2 linked regions of the Oryzias latipes genome follow. Each later gene encodes a partner of the first gene's protein in a complex. Links are inferred from orthologs where the notes say so. Each region holds a gene or a part of one and is shown on either strand. Other genes may lie near its edges.

Evidence for each region. Proteins that work in one complex are often made in the same cells at the same time.
Region 2: washc1 (region 1) and washc3 share a complex: the UniProt entries of both Homo sapiens proteins name them as parts of the WASH core complex. The link is inferred for Oryzias latipes from reciprocal best matches to the Homo sapiens genes WASHC1 and WASHC3.

Annotation. Positions count from the first base shown.
Region 1 is NC_019864.2:19,195,983-19,200,249, forward strand, and holds the start of washc1 (WASH complex subunit 1), read left to right. Parts: upstream 1-1,467; 5' UTR 1,468-1,598; coding exon 1,599-1,606; intron 1,607-2,177; coding exon 2,178-2,318; intron 2,319-2,727; coding exon 2,728-2,839; intron 2,840-2,928; coding exon 2,929-3,075; intron 3,076-4,267. UniProt on the Homo sapiens protein: Acts as a component of the WASH core complex that functions as a nucleation-promoting factor (NPF) at the surface of endosomes, where it recruits and activates the Arp2/3 complex to induce actin polymerization, playing a key role in the fission of tubules that serve as transport intermediates during endosome sorting.
Region 2 is NC_019881.2:17,520,987-17,525,174, forward strand, and holds the start of washc3 (WASH complex subunit 3), read left to right. Parts: upstream 1-1,388; 5' UTR 1,389-1,537; coding exon 1,538-1,588; intron 1,589-1,904; coding exon 1,905-2,003; intron 2,004-2,689; coding exon 2,690-2,755; intron 2,756-2,846; coding exon 2,847-2,984; intron 2,985-4,136; coding exon 4,137-4,188. Other genes in the region: zinc finger protein 252, read right to left, coding at 1-149, 661-700. UniProt on the Homo sapiens protein: Acts as a component of the WASH core complex that functions as a nucleation-promoting factor (NPF) at the surface of endosomes, where it recruits and activates the Arp2/3 complex to induce actin polymerization, playing a key role in the fission of tubules that serve as transport intermediates during endosome sorting.

The DNA of each region.
Region 1 (4,267 bases):
CCGTGTGCGTGAGGATGAGAAGGTGAAATTTTGAATCGTTTCTCTTTCCGAAAAAATGATTCTGTGTAAGGAAAGAGGATGCCACGACAAGCTACTCCCTACTTCTCAGGTCGTTTCCCTCAATTCTTTGCTCTTCCTCTCTCTGCTGAGTGCTGCTGATGAGAAGAGGCAAATCCAGATGTGACAGGAGGGAGGGGAGCGCTTCTAGACGGATGCGTCATTACGCATTCAGGAGAAAAAGCAAGGACAAGGACGCACCCTATGGATACAAATCAGTACTGCATTCTGTTTTGTTTGAATTATTTTTCACTTAACTGGTTACACAAATGATCTAAAAATAGACTATTTTTTATTAGGATATTTTTTAAACAATCATATCAGGGGAATTACAACAAAACGAGGTTTCACTGTCATTTTCTAACGGACTGTTGTGTCTTGAAGGAGATCTGTCAACACTAAGCCCTGATGTCCCTTCATAGTTTTTCTTTATGCATAGTTTTTGTAAATTCCACACCAATCAGACTTATTAACTGAAGTGAATTTGGAGGTTCAATCTACAGTGTTAATGGTCATTAATGAATAAAGTGGGACATTTAATGGGGGATTAGTAACTTCTTTTTAAATTCACATTGGTTTCTTTGTTGTTTTTCATTTATTTTGTCGTTACAATTTACTTTTTATGTCAGAATATTTAATAAATATGCACTGCTAGATTATAGATACTTTATTAACTTTCCTTCTGCTTGCAGTTAAACTATTATGTCAAGGTTGTTTGATCTGAATATGGCTGATAATTTAAATAAAAAAAATAAGAAACACGTTAGCTAAAAGTTTCATCTTTGCACTAAAAATAGCTTTTAATCCATGGTTTGGTAAAGGTTTACTAATATAAACCAAAAATGTGTTAAAGTTAGCAGATGTAGAATAGAATAGAGAGAAAAGAATAGAATAATAGAAATCTAAATAAAACACAAAAAAAAGCAAGTAAAACTTCAAACTAGAAAAACCTCAAAGATTCTGCTCTCCGAAAAAAGTAATTTATGCATAAAGCCTTTGCTGGTGGCAAAGGCTTTATGCATAAAATGAATAAATAAAAAAATAAAATAATAAATAAATAAATAAATAAATAACAAAATAAATCAATAAATAAATACATAAATAAATGTAAGTTCGTCAGTTGCCTAAATATGTAATACACCTACACGAATTAGACATTTTTAAGCAATTTAGATTTTTTCTAAATACGTAATTCATGCTAAGCACTGTAAACGAGTAGACATACCCCCCCCCCACACACACACACACTTTTTTTAAACTACATTTTAAAAATTACAAAAAATTCTGGTATGACTATCTGCACTAGCTGCCTTTACTAAAATGTTAGTCTTGAGGGGGCAAAACTGAACCACTGTGCAAGATGAACTTTTAGTTAAAAAGTTTCCGACACACCGTGAATGCACCATTTAACGCAATGGCGTGGTCACGTGTTGCTCAGATGCGGAAGTGTAAACTGTTTTGCTAAATAAAAAGCTACAGCTATCACCGACAGTCTAGATTGTAATTATTCTTTTAATGAAACTCAACTGTAAATCAAACCAATGGTCAGGTAAGAGGCTAGGTTGTATGACGACGTGGTAATAACGGGTGATGTTCTCAGTTTTTGTGTCGCTCTTTTCCTAATCTAATAATTAGTTTATTTCTTTTTAGGATCATCATGTACTTGCAAATGGTGTTCACAAGGTTTCAGCTAGCCCTACAAAACACCCAAAAAAATAACGCGACGTGTTTGGCAATAAACGGTTGTTGCAACATCATTTCAGCGCCGCTGACTGTCATGTGAGAGTCAAATGAGGATTTATGAATTTTATTTTTTCTTTCAACGAGATGTTAAAAAAAGTCAAATTCCATTTTAGTCCTAAAAAGAATAAAGGCCGTTCACCTGGAACTAGTATAAAGGTTTTGTCCAGGTTATATTTAACATACATTTCTTTGTTAACTCAACTTTAATTGTTTTTATTTAAATTGTTAATATTTCTTTGTGCTAATAAGAGGCCTTAATGCATTCTTTCCTTTGTATCCTAAATTTTACTATTGAATATATAAAGTTAGTTGAAATAGAATAGAATAGAATAGTATAGAGCAACTAACAGTGCTATGGTGTTGCTGTTGTTTTGCAGGATGACACACAGACACTGCCTGGAAGCCCAGGTGTACTCGGTCCCTCTGGTGCAGCCGGACCTGAGGCGGGAAGAGGCTGTCAATCAGATCGCTGATGCACTTCTGTATCTAGAGGCAATTTCCACCGACATTTTTAGAAGGCAAGCCAAAAAACTAACTTAAAAAAAGGGGAAAATCTTTCAAAAGTATGTCAGTTTTGCATACTAATGGACACTAACTTCCCAAAAATTGGTTTTTAATTTCAAAAGTGACTCATTACCGTTACAATATTTGCTGCCACCAACATTGATAGTATTTATAAAAGCAGTACTGAGTGATAAAGCTCTTAAAAAAACAACAACTGTCTGTTGACCTGTTTATTTATTTTTTACCTTGGGTCAAGACATAACTTGAGTTAATGTTTTTGTTATATAATGTCCAAAACAACACATCAATTATTACAATGCATTTTTTTGTCTAACATAAATGGCTAAACCCTTTTAGCACTTAAACAATAATTGGTAAGGATTTCAAATAACTGCATAACCTTCATGCTGGTCCTGCTTGTAGGGTTTCAGAGAGCGTGGAGAAAAACCGCCACCAGCTGCAGAGCGTCTCTGACCGGATCCGACTCGCTCAAGCCAGGGTTGATAAGATTAAAGGCAGTAAGAAGGCCACCAAGGTAACAAAGCCTCATCTTTTTAGATGAAAACTTCTACATTGGAACCATGGTGTGTGACAATTGCAGAAGCAGGTCAAATTGTGTTGCAGGTCTTCTCCAGTGCCAAGTACCCGGCCCCAGAACAGCTCCAGGAATATACATCCATCTTTGCAGGGGCGGCAGACCCTTCCTCACAAAGCTGCTCCAGGCGCAGGATTCAGAGTAAACTTCGGCCTTTTGATGAGAAGGTTCTGCAGGTGAGATGAATGCACAAAAATGTAGATTTCGGTTCAGGTTTTGGCATCTTCTCCCATCATGTGACTGATAAATAGCATCTGCAGTTTCAAGTTACAAGCGTTGCATTGATTTTTGTGGTGCTGCATTCAGAGAAGCAGTCTAACTCACTTAAACTCCGCTGTATCCTGCTGGTTGGAGATTTCCCGTTGTGTTTTTCGCCAGCATGCTTCATGCTATCGTTGGCAAAGAGCAGATCTCACTGTCTCCAGCCGCTGCTGTAACTCTGGCATCTGGAGGGATGTGCGTTTAAGATAAGCCTGAGGGAGAATACCTAATGAGTTTTGAGTAACCATCAAAAGAATCAAAAGTCCTGGTTCCAAGAACGTCAAGTTGTCTTTCCCACATTGAACAAAGCCTGTTTCATCTTCAGGAAGACTTTAAATGCTCTCCATTCAGATACTTGAGGAGGCATTAGCCTCGTTTCCACTGAGCGGTACGACACGGTTTGGAATGGTTTATTCAATTCAGGTGAGTGTTTCCACTCAAAGTTGGACCGTCACGGTGCATTCTGGGTGTAGATTGCCTGCATTGCTTTGCGTCATAGTAGTACGACTACTGCAAAAGCGAAGCTATCAACAACAACAATGGAGTTCATCCAGCATATACAAAGAATTTAACGCTGTTTGACAAAAGATTCCGTTTGGAAACATTGGCGCTGGTTTGGCGCTCTCTTTTATCATAACGACCTTCTGCCAATCAACGAGTTTCTTCGTTTGATGATGGTAGCTCCGCCCTAACCGTTCTATTTCATTTCTGTATGGACCTACAACCCACGGGGTCCCAAAAATTACGGTTCTGTACGGTTTAATGGATCCGTTTTAAAATGGAAATGCTCAACGAGGCTTTAGTGTTCAGCGAGGTCCGTCAAATACTAACAATGTGCAAAATTGAATCAGAACGTAAAAAGAGAGATGTTGGAACCCAACAGGTGTGTACTTGCTTTTTTATAGCAAACAGAAGCTGGTAATAATTCCTACATTTACTTTCAACTTAACTCCTCGAGATTCTTGAATCCCTTTAAACCCTAAATCAGTCTTTTTTTTTTAAAACATTAATGGACACATTTTTTGTTTTTCAACTAGAACGAACTTGTTGATATTGAAAATTATCAGGATATAAAACCTATTTACACTTTAAGATCCACTAGTCTGT
Region 2 (4,188 bases), on another chromosome or scaffold:
AGGAATGGCCTCTGTCACAGTAGACACAAAGTCCTGCAGCTTGTCGTAATTTAACACATCTTTATGCTTTGCAAGATGCCACACAGCAGCAGACAAAAGCTGGAGAGGGGGAACCAAGAGACGCAGGGATGACAGAGGCAAGCTGGGGTCTGAAAAAGAAAGGTGTGATGCAAAATATTGCCTATAGAGGGCAGTAATTAGCCTGTTTTTAGGCATGTTCATGCTACTACTAGAGGTGAAAAACCCCCACTCAAAAGTAGCATTACCTTACAAATAAAAAAATGATGTGCTGAATTTTAAATTTAAGATATTAAATTGTCTAAAAAAGAATTTTCTTAACCTTAACAAATGCTAAATTGGCGATGTGCCTTTCATGATCTGTTATGAAATTGAAATAAATGCTGGATTTACATCTATGTTAACGATTTAACATGGGAATATATTGACTGAAACGATTAAAATTCAACAACAATAAAAAGTACAACTGGTCTGTAAACGTAATGTATCACATAACAGAAAAAAACTACCTGTGATTTCATCAACATTAACAGTTAGCCAGTTTATACTCCACACCATTCCTTAAGTTAGTCGGGTCCCAAAGAGTATTTTCAAAGCATAAACGTGATTTACGACTACATTTATTAATCTGAATACACTTACGATTAGTTTGCTTCTTTGACCCAAAAACGTCCATTTGCATAGTCCAGCGTTAAAAGTCTGAAAATAACAGTAACTGTAAAAAAATATTTTTTATTGGTTTTTCTAGCTAACATGCGCTGTTGGGACGCAAACATCGTTTCCTCCAATGTTTTTGAGGGTTCCGCTTTCAAAATAAGAGTTTTCAGATTCAAAATCGAAAACATTGTTATGTAGTTTATGCATATTCGCAAATAAACACGAATATTTCAGTATGTATATTTTTTTATTTAAGATGGTATTGTTTTAAATGTATTATCAATAGATTATGTGCACAAGTTAAATGCCCAAAAACTAAGACGTTTCACCGCAGTGATAAAGTTGGTTGTTGACTAAACTTTATAGTATTTTAAACCAGATGTGAAATAACAGTGCTATAAAATGGAATTAGGGTTTTAAGTGTTGATATTTATTATTTAATCAATTTTAAACTTCAGATCCAATTTAATTCAATTTAATTCAATTCAATTTTATTTGTGTAGCCAAAATTCAAAACAACAGTCGTCTCAATGGGCTTTTCTACTCATTGACCTGAAAATATCCTTGTAGTTTTATTTAAATCCTCTCCATTCTTCTTGTAATTCTTTTTATTTAATTTTTTGTTTATTTTTCTATTTAGACACATTTTTTTAAAGTTTTCAAAATAAAAGCTGAAGTGTTAGGCCATTGGTGCAATATAGCGGAAGTGACAAGAGGAATAGGACGCGCTATGACGTAATTACGCAAGTCACATGAAACCTTCACTACAAACCTTTTTAATGTGCTGTTTTCTTTATTTACACCCCATGTAGACAGATTATAAACGATACTGGACGTTTGCGCGGAGTTTTAACGACCCAGCATGGACGAGGACGGTTTGCCAATCGTGGGGTCTGGAGTTGACCTCACGAAGGTTTGTGTTTTTTTTAGCTAACAGTCATGGTTCGCTTGTAGATCTCCGTGGGAATGAAAGAAGTAGCTGAAAGATTAGTCAAGTAAGACTTTATGGGATAATAAACATGATTTTAATCACATTATAATAGGATTCAATCAATATTCCCAACGATTTTGTATTTGCAGAATTATTTTTCGTGTTTTCTTTTACTTTAAAATGCATGTTTTTGTAAAGGCTGGCACTAAGCATGACTCTAAATTTCTCCAGAATCTGATAGGACTCGCTCTCATGTGTCATCGTTTTCCTGATTAAATGACTTTAAACTCCCTTCTAGGTTCCAGCTATACAGCAGAGACGAATTGTTGCCTATCTCAATCAGTTTGTTGTCCACACAGTTCGATTCCTGAACCGATTTTCCACAGTTTGTGAAGAGGTTTGTGCATCTTTTACATCGTTAAAGACCCACTTTGATGGAAATCCTGTATTTAACGTGTTTCTTGTGGGATTCATCTCAATATACTTAAGGGAATTAAGCTTACAATTGCATTTTTGAGTATTATTTAATTCAAATTGTTGTAAATCGGGAGCAGACGAAAAAATGCAGTTTGAAAAAGATTGTATTTGTGATGTAGAAAATGCGGCGGATGGGTCACAAGCTTCCTGCTCCTCTCCATGCTGATGCATCCATTTGTTGCAGACAAATAGATCCATGTATGTCTCTGTTTTCCCCGTCTGAACTGGAATCTGGCTCTAAACTGTACGGCTGGATAGCTCCAAAATTGCTCGCCATTTTTGTTGTCCTCTTAATGTCAGTTTACGGGTGTTTGAGGGGCTGTAAGCTTGGGGAGAGCATGTAAACAGATGGATGATAGGAAGTAGGGGCGGGCTTACTCTGCACCAACTGTCGAACAACAGTTTTTTTTTTGTTTTTTTTTACATTTTTGCCTAAAAAACAACATTAACATAGTTAAAAGACCAATGGAAACACATTCAATATAGATCAAAAGTTGATGATTGGGACTTTAAACTCGATTGACTTTGAATTTATCAGTGTCAAAATGTGTGAAGCCCTCATGGTGGGAACTCGATCAATCCAAAATATCAACATTTCCCCCACAGAAACTTGCAAACATATCCCTTCGCATCCAGCAGATTGATACCACCTTGTGCATTTTGGAGGCTAAGGTGAGCTGTCACACCCTTTTCAAATTGTCATGGATGTCATTTCTTTTTTTAACAAATGTTTTTGTTGTTGTTTTTTGTCTTTGTGGAGCAGTTGGCCTCCATTCCCGGGCTGGAGGAGGTCACAGTAGATGGACTGAACCAGCAGCACAGTGTGCAGACAAATGGGCCCACTCCAACCAGTCAAATCCAAACAGATGGGTCTTCAGTGGGAGCAGTTCCTTCCTCAGTGGTGAGTGTTCAGACTTGTTATAAAAAAGACACAAATATCCCAACCCCCCCTTCCCCCACAGTTTTTCACAAATTTATAGATTCAAACCTGATACATAAGGATTATGGTACATTCATATTGTGAAAGGTCGACCGATGATTTACCTTTTTACTATAGTTTTTTTTAATATATAATTATCTCTATTGATTTTCTTATTTTATTTTATGACAAACATGAAAATAATCCTAAAATAGCTTTACAAAATTTTTGTGTAATGTAGAATTCCTATGGGGTCAAATCCAGATCAACCTAAAGTGAAGGAAAAAACACAAAAAATAAAATTTAAAACTGTTTTAAACTCAAAAACAGATGTGAAAGAAATGTTGTAAATGTGAAAAGTATAATTGTAACTTTGAAAAAAAAAAAAAGATTTTAAACTTGAGAGGAATATAGAAAATTTGAAAAATAATTTTTTAAGTTGAAACTTAAAATTAAAAAGAAAAACTATAAACTTATAACTGTTACCAAATGAAAATTAACATATATTTGTAACAGCTGCTGTTTTGTATTGATGTACCAAACTTTGGGAGAGAATTATCACTACTGTTCGCCACATCAGAGGAGGGATGACACAGGCGGCGCCAACAACTACCGCTGTTGTGGAGCGGAAATGACATCATCATACCCTTTATGACCTGATGTCAATCATGTCCAGGTAGCCAATGGGCTCAAAGCCCCAGATAACAGTCAGAATTCTGAATTGATGACAAGTTTAGGTTTATGTTAAGTTGAGAATGTACTTTTATTTACTTATTTATTTTTTAAAATTTAATTTAATTAAAATAACCAAAGTGTACTTTTGAATTTAAAACTGTTCACTAATTTTCTCAATTGTTTTTAATTTTACTTTGTGGTTTTTCATTCCCTTCAAGCTGATCTCGATTTGACCCACATATTTCTCTTTTGTAGTTTTGAAATTTCCAATCTTGCTTTATTTACACAACAAATAAGGAACCAGTTAGTAATATAGACTGAATAGCAGGGATCTGGTTGCCTGTGTGCGTTACAGAAACATTCTGAGCATCTGTTTAGTGTACAGATATTATTTTCGCCATATTCATCAGGATTATAGTTTCCTTTAAAGCTGCTTTTCAACGTTTCTTCATGCTTCAGCCTCAGGAGGCACGACAAGAAGCTCCTGAGCAAAAAGCAGCAGCCGTTGCAG